Linked DNA regions of Struthio camelus. The protein of the gene in region 1 interacts with the protein of each later gene in a biochemical or structural test. Links are inferred from orthologs where the notes say so. Each region holds a gene or a part of one and is shown in the gene's direction. Other genes may lie near its edges. The genes, in order: RUFY1, RAB4A and RAB14.

Region 1 (3,748 bases):
TTTAGAGTAGGAGAACAAATAAGACACAGACCTGAAGATTTCCTTTGCTGCAAGACTACTGAAATTGATCTCCAACTCTGCTGTTCCCTCCCCTCTTTTCCTTCCCCCCCCCCCCCTTCTCACAGTCTGGATATTTCTTAGCAAAAATAAAACAAAGCTAACAAAAAATGCCTTCCTCAGTCAGTATAGCAAGAAGAGCTAATATGCAACATTTACTATATCATGATTAAATGAGTGACGTATCTTGGGGATATACAGCTGCTGGATGGAGAAAATGAATGCTAAACCATGCCTCTGCAGGCTACATTGATATTCGAGACACCTAGTAAGGTCAAACTTTCCAGCTAGCATCAATTCAGTTCTCCTTCATGATAAATCTTTTCTACCAAATGCAGCCAAGCTACGTTAATGAAGCAGCCTTTCTGATTACAGCTATTTTGTAATGTCAGGATGTGAGCGAGCACTTTTCACTGCTCCAGACCTGCCATATGTATCCACTATTTTAATCAAGTTCGGATGGCTTGAGTTATAGACAGAGTAGTATCTCTCTAAGTTGTCATAAAATAATGCAAAAAATGTGGGATTTCAAAGGTTACTGCAAAGATTCTAATTGAAAATAATGTTTAGGAACATAGTATGCAATAAATAACTCCAAGGTGTGTTTTTGGTTACCTCCGTAACTTTGTTTAAAAAGTAAACCTTTACTCCTTCCACGCCTCCCTTCCCCAAGCCTTTAACTTCGAACATCGGGAAAACTGCTCACAGTTCTGGAAAGGCTTGTCTTACAGCCTTGCTTAGGCATGCAACAGTTTTAGAGTCGTTCAGCTTGCTCTTACGTACCTGGCTCCCAAGCTGCAGTGAGAAGGCGGGGGAGGGCGGAGGCCCTGCCAACTCGATTGCTCATGACTAGCGTCATATGACACTTCAAAGATGGCCGAAGGGGAGAGCCCATCTGCCGCGGAACAGAAAGAAGACTTTGAAATTATTGACAAAAACCTGATCCCTAATACCCCTGAGCTGAAAAACGAGGGAAAAGAGAAAACTGCGGAAGAAGCAAGATGGTCTGCTCCCATCTTGTCGCTGGCTAAGAAAGCCTCAGAAAACTTAGCGCTGAGCTATGGCAACGCTCTGAAGTCTGCATCTTTGGTAGGATTCATATCCAAACCAGTCAGCAATGACAACACAGCAAAAACAAGTATGGTTATGTTTATTTAGTAAACTTGCTTTTATGGTGCACAAATAAGTTAGTTAGCTCCCGTAAGTGGCATTTATCAGTGTCAGTGAGGCATTATTATTACTCTGAATTTATTTTTAAAAATCTGATGCTGCGCTATTTAATGGAAGCAAAACTACACAAACACCACAGATGTAGAACTGAACAAAGTATATTCTAACTAGAAAAATCGTAAACTCTGAATATATTCGGAAAATTTGACTTTATTTTCTGTACATAAGGCTTTTGATTACTTTTGCCTTCTCCCTTAAAGTTCTCCTTAGCAGCAGCCTGACTGCACTAGTAGGTGATGTGGCTCATTTCTTATCCTTCCTAGGCGGTTCAGAGAAGGAGCTATACTTGTGGTATGATTTTTTGTGACACAAGGTAGACTAAGACAAAGACTTGTCATGAATTACTTCTTTTTCACTATGCTAAAAATGCCCCCTTAAGTTAACTACAGCTTGCTTTATTAAACATCCATATTTGTGGGTATAACAATCCATATGGATTTACGGAACGAGTCTTTTACAGCTGAACTAAAAGGGCTTTAGTTGGATCCTTATGCGAATTGAATCCTTTGGTACCACCTCAGTGATATTCGGGCACTGGAAACAAAACCATTCAAATGTAGTGGTAACTGGTCACATTAGTCTTGTCCTCCAGGCTTTCAGGCTAGCGCTTAGTGATTTTTTTGGACCAACAGAGCTCAGTTATGGTTCTGACCTTCTTGTTTTTCATGATATTTAGTACTCAAGCTGGAGTTCTCTGGGGATGAATTGTGGCTATGTGGTGAAATAAGCTACTCGTGGTGGGTGGGGGGGGATTTTTTTCAATGAAAATTCCTTGATTTTTGTATAGTCAGGAGAGTTTAAAATAATAATCTAGTTTTCCAGGACACAATTTCGCTTTCCCTGCATCTATTACACAGTCTCAGACCACATTTAACAGATTTGTTTTCTGGATGCCCAGCGTGAGAACCTGGAATCTAACCTGAGGAAGGACAAAATATCCCACTGTCTTCAGGTGCATTGGGATCGCTGCTGTGAACACACATAGTACAACAGCACATGCAGCATTTGCTGGGGGTAGAGGAGAGGGCTGTTAAAACATTCTGCCTGAAATGAGAGTCCCCAGGCTTCATGGGACTTTCACCATAATCTTGCAGCTTCCTATCTGTAAAATGAGGGAATGCAACTCCACCTCACCAGATTATGAACGTATTATCCAAATACTTTGAACAACGTTTATAGAAAATTCCATGAGAAAAATCTGCTTATAACTTATTTAAAAAAAAAAAAAAAGTGAACAGGCACTAGATGACCTATTCTGCCCTCCTGTGTAAAAGGCTTCACCGTTACCCTTGACTGAGAACAGTAAATTTGATTTAAAGCAGGTATTAAATAAATAACCTCTAGTTCTGTGGCCTGCAAGAAGATATGTGGAGTGCTAGTAACTTGTTCCTTGTTGCCCTCTTTTCCAGAGATTTTATAATCTCTACCTGCTACTTCAGGTATGTTGATCACTTGAAAAGTCACCACTGCACACTCCACAGCAAACTGGACAGATAAAAGGAAAGGCACACCATAAAACTAGCGTGTACTACTGATGAAACTGTCCCGCTTGGCTGGAAAGATAGGGAGCTACCAATTTAAATACAAATCAAGAAAGACTTGCAGTTTTATAGACCAAGAGGTGGAGAACAGTCAAGGTTTCTTCATACTTCAGTTTTTTTCCTACCTCAAGGCCTGCTGAATAGTGTGCAGTAAACAAGGCACGGGGGCTTCAAAATGATGTTAAAACAAATCTGTTGAATTGGATGAGGTAAGAGACTGTGTGACGGTGTTTTTAATGACCGCATCATAACGTGTGTGATCTTTTGCACTTAAGTAACTCGATTCCTAATCTTCCAGGCCTTGCTTTGGTAGATCGCGCTGTTCTAGTATCTGGCTTTTTTGCATGTACCAACTTGTACATGGTTTTAGAAAAGATGCACTTGACTGTCCAACCTTGCAACTGTTTAAAAAATAGTTCAGATTGTACTAACTAGTACTTAGTACAAATGCTTATGAAGACATGGTTTACATTTAAATTTTTGTTCATAAATAAATTATCATTCACAAAATTCGTTTAAAAAAAGACTTGTGGCTGATATGATACCTAGCCCTTGAGCAAAGCTCACAAGCAAAACATGCCTGACAAGTAAAAATCCAGTCTCAGGAAATCGTCAAAATAACTCGATGAGTTGCCATTGAAGCATCCTAACATCTAAGCAAGGCCACTGATTTCCTATTTCCATAGTCAGCCTTTTTTCTGTTCCTAACGTGTAGCCTGGCAATACTGACATCAACATTTAAAAATATTACAACCCTTCTAATTCTCAGTCTCATCTCGGACATTATAAGCAGTTTTGAGGCATCCACTATACTGACTGTAGATAGTGATATGTTGGAAACAGCCTATGGAGAAGATAGGATTTTATGTGCTTCTTCTTGAGACTGACTTGAATTTGGATGAGAACGACTCCCTGTTTTG
Region 2 (3,748 bases), on another chromosome or scaffold:
AGGTCGGAAAAGCACTGGTGCAGTCAGCTCTCCGAAAAACAAAACCCTGTCTGTTAGCTTATACATATCACCACGTACCTCAAAAGGATATACGGCAAAAGGCTTAGCCCTTGACTGAAATGGGGGGAAAGTTTTTTGGGGAAGGATCTTAACGAGTCTAGAACAGATGCTTTAGGACAAAAAGTTGGACAGTGGAATACAGTTTTCAGGAAGGACCATCACAGGCAGGTTCTGTACCTGGGGAAAAGCGTTTGCAGACTTGCTGGCAGGAAAATTAACTGGAATCGGCTGAGATCCCAGCAGCTCAAAAAACACCAGAATTCAGGGACTATGCCCTCTGACAGCCGTCTGACAAGTCGCCAAACAGGAGCACTCAGCTCCCAGGAGGAATGGCCTCAGAGGCTACTATTTTCCAGAAAGAACTGAAGGGAATTTTTTAATCATCAGTTCAACTTCCAGCACAGACATCAGAATGGAATGGGATATCTTTAAATAATGGAGTTTTCTCTGGACAAGGAAAACGTTAAGATTATTCAAGCCTTAGAAATCAACATGACCTCAGCGCATGCAGAACTGAGGCGTCTGTTATCTTGGCAGAGTTGCAGCTAGCCCCACCATCGCCCACACTTTGTGGGTACAGCTGTCTCGTATACCCGGGACTTCCAGGACAGCTACAGCTACTACGCACTGGGCTACCGCACAGCAGAGCGGCGGTGAGGCCGTGTTTCCTAAATGTCTGTGGCCTATCGGGCGCACACCCTGCGACCACGGAGGAAACGGAGCACGTTTCGGGGAACCTGCGACCAGCCTGCCACCCACAAGTTGTACGCCCGACTTGTGTTAGCTCTGGCAGCCCCCAGGGCTTCCTGATGCAGCCCCAGATGGAGTACCAGAACAGCCCTCTGAGACTGGGGAAAACAGAGAGCAGGGCTAGGACGAAGAGCTCCCAGGGAGCAGACAGAGACGAGCCCACACTCGTGCGACATGGCGGCCACCACCGGGGTAGAGCAGCCAGTCACGTGGGCCGCCCTCGCGCCCCGCCCCCCAACGGCTGCGCGGCGCCGCAGCCCCGCACGTGCGCCTTGTTTTGGTGACGGCCGTTGGAAGGGGAACGGCGGGGAGGCGGGGCTGCGGGGCATGAGCCCGGCGCGCCTGCGCAGCGAGGCGGCGCTCTTCCCCCCCCCCCCGCCCCACACCTCGGCCGCCGCCGCGAGGGGCGGAGGCCGAGGCGGCTCGGACGCGCATGCGCGGTGGTGGCCGTTGCTGCCGTTGGCGGCTGGGCTGAAGCGGCGCAGTTGGTGGTGGCGGCGGTGGTTGCTGCTGTTGCGTGGACCTGTCCGTCTCCCCCCCGGCCTGCCCCCTCGGTTCTGAGGGGCCGCAAGCCTCTGCCGGGGAGGGGAGACTCGCAGCTCCCAAAATGTCGCAGACGGCCATGTCCGAGACCTACGGTAGGAGCCGGGGCCCGGGCGGGGCAGGCGCTTGCGCCCCCGGGGAGGGGTCGCTGTGAGCGGGAGACCCCCGGCCCGGCGGTGCGGCTCTTCCCCAGCGGGGGCCGGGGCCGGGCCGGCCCAGCCCAGCGCGCGGGCGCTGGCTAGGGAGCGAGGCTCGCCTCCGCCGAGGCTTTGAGCCGGGGCCGGCTCTGAACCGCGGTGTTTATTCCCGAGCCCTAGCGGGTGAACGAAGTGTCAGTGTGGTAAAGGTTGTAGCAAAGTGTCCCCCGCCTCTGGCGTTGTGCTGTTGACTGTGCCGAGTTAATCACCATCTGGAGTAGGAAGCTATGGCCCTTGCTGAAGAAAGCAGAGAAGAGGTGGTAGATCAGGGACTGATCCAGTGTGGCATGAGTTTTGAAGTTCTAGGCTATGGTAGCTGTTTGGCCTTATGCTTCAGACAGGCTTCTTGCCTTCTGGTTTGTTTGTTTTTCTTTTTTTCCTACTCTTTATTAGCAATGTTCACTACAGCCTATTACTCCTCCCTCTGTTGTCCAGCTCACACTGATGTGATAGTGCCTATTCAAAATTATTTTTCAATGTTGAGAAGTATTGATGACTCAAAAGGTAAGTAAAATACTAGCCAGAAAATTTAGGCACTACTTCTTTGTTATCTTTAAGTTAATTCAGAAGGAAAATTGCAGTGCATGCCCTCTAGGACGAAGCTGCTTTTATTGTAAAATTGGGGACAGTGTTCTTTTGAGGGTCAAATTAGGATTGTAGTCTTATTTTCCTAGATACACAAACATTAAAAAGAAGAAACTGTGAGGGTGAGTAAGTAAAAAAAGAACTAAAAAGTTTGTTCATCTCTGTATTAGCATGGACATCTGACTACTATGTGGTGTTTCCTATGAGCATTATAGCAGAAAAACATCTGAAGGCGTAAGTCGTAAGAGTGCAAGCTCTGGTGGGGTGAGTCAGTGCATTAAAGGCACATCAATGTGTGGAGTCCAATAGGTAGGTAGAGCTGATACTGCTGGCTGGGTGGAGCATATGGGAAGTGACTGGATAATATTCATTTCTCGTGTTTGTAACTTTGAGTTCTTGAATCAACCTCGTATGTTTTTTCTCTTTCCATAACATAGTTCTGTATCCTGTAATGCTTTTATTTACTGTATAAAAATCCTGTCATACCTCTAAATATTATTTTTAGAGTCCCTGTGTTGGATTGCTGGAGGATGAGATTGGAATTGGATATACTGTGATGAGCCCTTTAATTTCTCGTTTTCTGGCTTTGTCTGTTGCAGACTGTTATCCTCAGTAATTGGTTGAGCTTGGGATCTGCACTTGTGTCTCTCTGTCTTTAGAGCAGAATCCTGATAAATAATATATAGTTTGGATAATTATAGTGAAATTAGATGCGGCAAGTCGACTCACTGCTAAAGCTTGTTGATCTGAGGGAGACTGGCATCACTGTCAGTTCTTATTAGTAGGCTAGCTGATCTTATTGTTACTGTTGTATAAGTCTCTGTATATTTTCAGTAGCCTGGTCAGGAGTGCTTAGGGTACTTTGTCCCACTATGATGAGTGTTTCAGTATACGGGAAAAAGCACAGAACTACTGGGGAAAATGAGGCAAAAGTGCGGGGCAGCCCTTTAAGTGCAAATGTTAGGATAGCAAGACCCTGTTTCTTCTTTTGGTGTTTTCTCCAAACAAGCAAAACGCATGCGTAGAAATCAGGCCAAAGAGATGTGCTTTGTTGATTTAGATGTGAGTTTGAGCTAATTCTTCATGCTCTGAGCTGTTGCAGTTAAGGATCGAGATCGCTTTGGCTATGTTTATGGTGGGATTTGTAGTCTTTAAGCAGATGGATGGGTAGACAACCAGCGATGATAGAGATAATTCCAGCAGTATTCCTTCTTAACCTGCTTGCTATTACAGCATCAAGATAAATAATTGCATCTTAAACAAGTACATTTCAGCACTTTTTGCATTGTTCCAGTGAGTCAAAATAGTTTTAAACCCACTAGCATTGCTGATACTCTCTGATTGTTTTGATGTCCTAAAAACACACCCTTGAAATTGAAGAGTTTGGGTTATTGTGGTGTTCTAAAGAGGTGGTGGGGTTTTCGGTATATTTCTCTTTTGAATGTCAGTGATTGTTCTGTTTATATACATCAAGCTACAGGAATTCCGAGCTGGAAAACTGAAGATAATGGCATGATTTAGGATAAATGGAAGAACAAAAAATGTAAGCTATGAGATGACGTAGAATTTAACAATAGCTGTACTATCTGCAACCAAGGCAGTAACCAGTATGC
Region 3 (3,748 bases), on another chromosome or scaffold:
GACCCTGACTTGTGCTTGTAGGTCAGATAAAAAAATAAATGTAGTAATTTGGAGGCAGCTACAGTAGTGACTTTTCAGGTGGGAACACCAAGGGCCAAAGGGCAGTATGATTTCCTGTCTGGTGGGCAGCTTCCAGGAGTATCACTTTACTTTTCCACAGTGGAAAAGTGGAAAAGCTGAGATTTTCTTCAGTGTTAACACTTGCTCACTCACCTTTTGCACATACAGTAGATTTAAGCAGTATGTTTATCACATCTGCATACAAAAGATGCTTTCATTAGTATCTCATGTTATTTTTGTTCAGTTATTTGTAATCTGTATTAGAACGTAAAGCTGCATTACTATCCAGAGCCTTTTTTTTTTTGAACGTTCTAGTCATAGTATCGATGTTTTATCATCCCATATTGGCACTTTTACAACACATCGCACTTGTGTTACTCCGTAGGTCACTCCAGTAAACCATCATCTTTCCGGGAGGCCTGGATGTGGCAGCACCTTTGCCAGACTGAGGTTCCCTCCTGTTCTCTCATCGGTTTGGGTAGAGCGAACGTGCGGGCTCACACCTGCCCCTCGACCTAGGCGCAACAAGACGTTGGACTGTCGCGAGACCCTCCCCACAGGTCTAATTTTGAGACCTTCAGGTCTCGTTTTTATGGTGTTTCTTGGCCTATGTGTGCTTTTCTCGTGTCCTTCCCCCCCCCCATCAATTTGGGCTGCTGGCACCCGCTGGGCGCTCCCGCGCCCGGACCCGCCCGCCCTCACCTGGGCGGGCTCACGGCTCAGGACGCTCACGGCAGGCGGCTCCGCTGCGCCATGGCGCCCTCCTGAGGAGAGGGGCGGGGCCGCGCCCGTGAGGCGAGCGCCCGTGAGGCGAGCGCCCGTGAGGCGAGCGCCCGTGAGGCGAGCGCCCGTGAGGCGAGCGCGCGAGCAACCACCGCCGCCCCGCCCGCCGCTTTCCCGCCCGCCCTTCGGCGCGCGCCGGAGCGGGGCGGGGCGGGGCGATGGGGCGGGGCGATGGAGCGGGGGGGAGGTGGGGGGGAGAGGTGCGCGCGCTCGCGCCTGGCGCCGTGGCCCGCCCCGCCGGGAAGGCGGGCGCCGTGGGGCGCGCGGCCTCCGCGATTGGCTGCGGCGCGGGCTCTCGCGCCCACCTTTGTGCGGCCCCGGCGCCCGTCGAGAGTGGGAGGGGAAACCCCGTGCGAGGGGCGCCGCCATTTTGGATAAGGGTTGGCGGGGGCGGGGGGAGGTGATGGGGGCGCAGTGGAGCCAGCGGAACTGAAGCCGGAGGGAGCCCCAGAAAAAGGCGGAGACTCGGCCCGGCCGCTGCCCTGCCCAACCCAACCCAGCCCAGCCCGAAGCGGAGCCGCTCGCCGTGCCCACAGCGGGGACCGGGCTGCCGCCGACAGAGCCAAGCTGCACAGCCACCCGCTCCCCGAGCCCAGGTGAGGTGGAGCCGGCGAGAGGCGCCCGCCCGGCCGGGCCTAGAGCGCGCTAGGCCCCCGCGGCGGTGCCCGCCGGCCGGTTCCGCTCCCGGCCGGGCCCTCGCGGGCCTGCCGCGGCGGGGGGGAGCTGCAGCAGGTCGCCGTCCGCCTCCCGACCCGCCGGGGAGGGGGGAGCCCTTCCTGCTGCCGCTGCCCGCGGCCCGGCCTAGTCGGGGCCGCGGCGCTGCCCAGCCTCGGCCGCTCTCCCTCGTCGCCCGGCGCCGCGGATGCGTGTGGGGCCGCGGAGGGTGAGGTGGGTTGGGCAGCCGCTAGGCCTCGCGGCGCTGCTGCTGTTGGTCGCCGCCGCCTCCCCTTCCCTCCTGTGCGCCCCGCGGGGCGCGCCGCCATGGCGCACCTGGGGCCGGGGGGTGCGAGCGCGCCTCACCTGCCGCAGCTGCGCGCCTCTGCTAGGCTGCCTGCGCGCCCGCTGTTCTCCGGGCGGACCCGTGCTGTCGGGAGCTCGGGTAGAAAAATAACCTTCATATTTAAAAAAAAAAAAAAAGGCAACAAATCTATGCCACTTCCTATTTGAGGAAGTGGCAAAAGCATTCTAGACTTGTTCTGTTTTTTCTTTTCTCAGCGACTCTTCTGTCCAAACAGAAGAATGAAATTGCCTTTTTTTTTTTCCCTCCCCACCTCGTTGCCTATTGTCTATTTGCGGTACCTTTTTTAAGGATTCTGTGACACCCGTGGATGGTTTTGTCTTGAACTGAAAACATACTGGCTTCATCCTTGCAGTAAACACAGGAAAAAGCACCTGTGTTGGGGTCTGTCTTTCTTTCCTTCTATGGGTGTATTGCTCTTGAGATTATTTGATGTGGATTGTGCTTTCTAGGTCTCCAAAAGGGAGTGAATCTCTGAAGGAGAAAGGTGCTTTGCACGTTTCTGAAGATGTAAAAGTGCCCTTTTATGAGCAAGATTGATTTAGGACAAAGACTACTTGAACAATTTCAACCCACGAGTCAGAAATTTAATTCTTTTAACACCTAAATGTTTTCATTTGAGATGCATTTCTTCTGGGATCTGTTTCTATCTCAGTTTGGGTCGAGGGCCTGTTGTGCTCGAGTGTTACGCGGGCATGAGCAAGAAAATCCCACTCTGGAAGACTTCATACCTAAAAATCAAATAGTTGAATATGCTTAAAAAGGAAGCTGCTAGCTTCCTGTAGGATTTGAACCTGGCCTAGATCTGAGTTGTAGGAAGAAGCTTCTCCATTCTCTTCCCATTTGGAGAGTCACCCAAAGAAAAAAGTTATTGTGAAAGACAGCAATCTGAAAACAAACCTGTTATACTAGAGGTACTAGGATTAAAAACGTAAAGAGAACTTTAAAACTACTTGCTTGTTCCTGTGTCTCTAATGGAATCTACTTGTGAATGGTTCTCATCTTGCTATTTTCCTTACTTAATTTTGTTCAAAAATATACTTCTTCCAAGCTGATGACTCTAGTTTCATGTATTTCTATATTGATTTATTAGACTAACAGCATAACTCTTCTAGCTTCCATATTTGCTATCTCCTAAGCTTATCTGCTACCTGTCTGAAACTTAGTTCTGCAACCTCAAGACACATGGTGCAGGTTGAACTAGACTTCCTGTTATAAAGAGGAAAGTGGGTAAATGAGGATATGCAGATGGATAAAGAACTCCTATGGCTAAAAGCAGGCATTGGAGAGAGTGCTCTCATTGAGTACAGGTATGTCATATTTAATTTAGCTGGGGTGCTAGGTGTGGTTAGTAAGAAATAAGAGGTGGGTGTGTGTATATAAATACAAGAAGTTTCAGAAACAAAATGGGGCTTGATAGAGCAGGATGTGAAAGCATTAAAAGGATAACAAATACAATTGGAGTAGGACTGGATAACTGAGGAAAATCAAAAGATGAAGATGGTTTGATATGTAGTCTTGATGTGTGTGTGGTTTTTAAGGGGGAGGGGTCAAAATCATCATATAGGAAGGGTGGTAAAGGGCTGTGGAATTTCTAGGAATACTTAATAGACCTCAGGTTGAGTTACGGTGTTTTACATGATTAAGGAATGCAGCAAATGCCCTTCTTCAAGAGCAGCTTGAAATAAGGGTCTGTACAGGTGTAAGTTTGGTCTAACCCCGGGAGCCTGTAGGCCTTGTGTGTGTGTGGTTTTGGTGTGTGGTTTTTTTTTTTTTAAAGGAAGAATAACTGGATGTGGAGATAATGGGAACATGTGGAGTGATCTTCAAAAGCAGATCAGAAGTAGTTTGTCTGGTTGGTATCTCTGCTTGTCACTAGTCACTTTA

The links.
Region 2: the proteins of RUFY1 (region 1) and RAB4A form a complex in vitro, tested with the Homo sapiens proteins (2 studies listed by BioGRID). The link is inferred for Struthio camelus from reciprocal best matches to the Homo sapiens genes RUFY1 and RAB4A.
Region 3: the proteins of RUFY1 (region 1) and RAB14 form a complex in vitro, tested with the Homo sapiens proteins (2 studies listed by BioGRID). The link is inferred for Struthio camelus from reciprocal best matches to the Homo sapiens genes RUFY1 and RAB14.

The regions. Positions count from the first base shown.
Region 1 is NC_090954.1:6,838,375-6,842,122, forward strand, and holds the start of RUFY1 (RUN and FYVE domain-containing protein 1), read left to right. Parts: upstream 1-910; 5' UTR 911-930; coding exon 931-1,195; intron 1,196-3,748. UniProt on the Homo sapiens protein: Activating adapter involved in cargo sorting from early/recycling endosomes. Regulates retrieval of proteins from endosomes to the trans-Golgi network through interaction with the dynein-dynactin complex.
Region 2 is NC_090944.1:91,388,301-91,392,048, forward strand, and holds the start of RAB4A (ras-related protein Rab-4A), read left to right. Parts: upstream 1-1,202; 5' UTR 1,203-1,417; coding exon 1,418-1,448; intron 1,449-3,748. UniProt on the Homo sapiens protein: The small GTPases Rab are key regulators of intracellular membrane trafficking, from the formation of transport vesicles to their fusion with membranes.
Region 3 is NC_090961.1:2,924,792-2,928,539, forward strand, and holds the start of RAB14 (ras-related protein Rab-14), read left to right. Parts: upstream 1-1,021; 5' UTR 1,022-1,439; intron 1,440-1,549; exon of another isoform or gene 1,550-1,726; intron 1,727-1,863; exon of another isoform or gene 1,864-1,927; intron 1,928-3,646; exon of another isoform or gene 3,647-3,716; intron 3,717-3,748.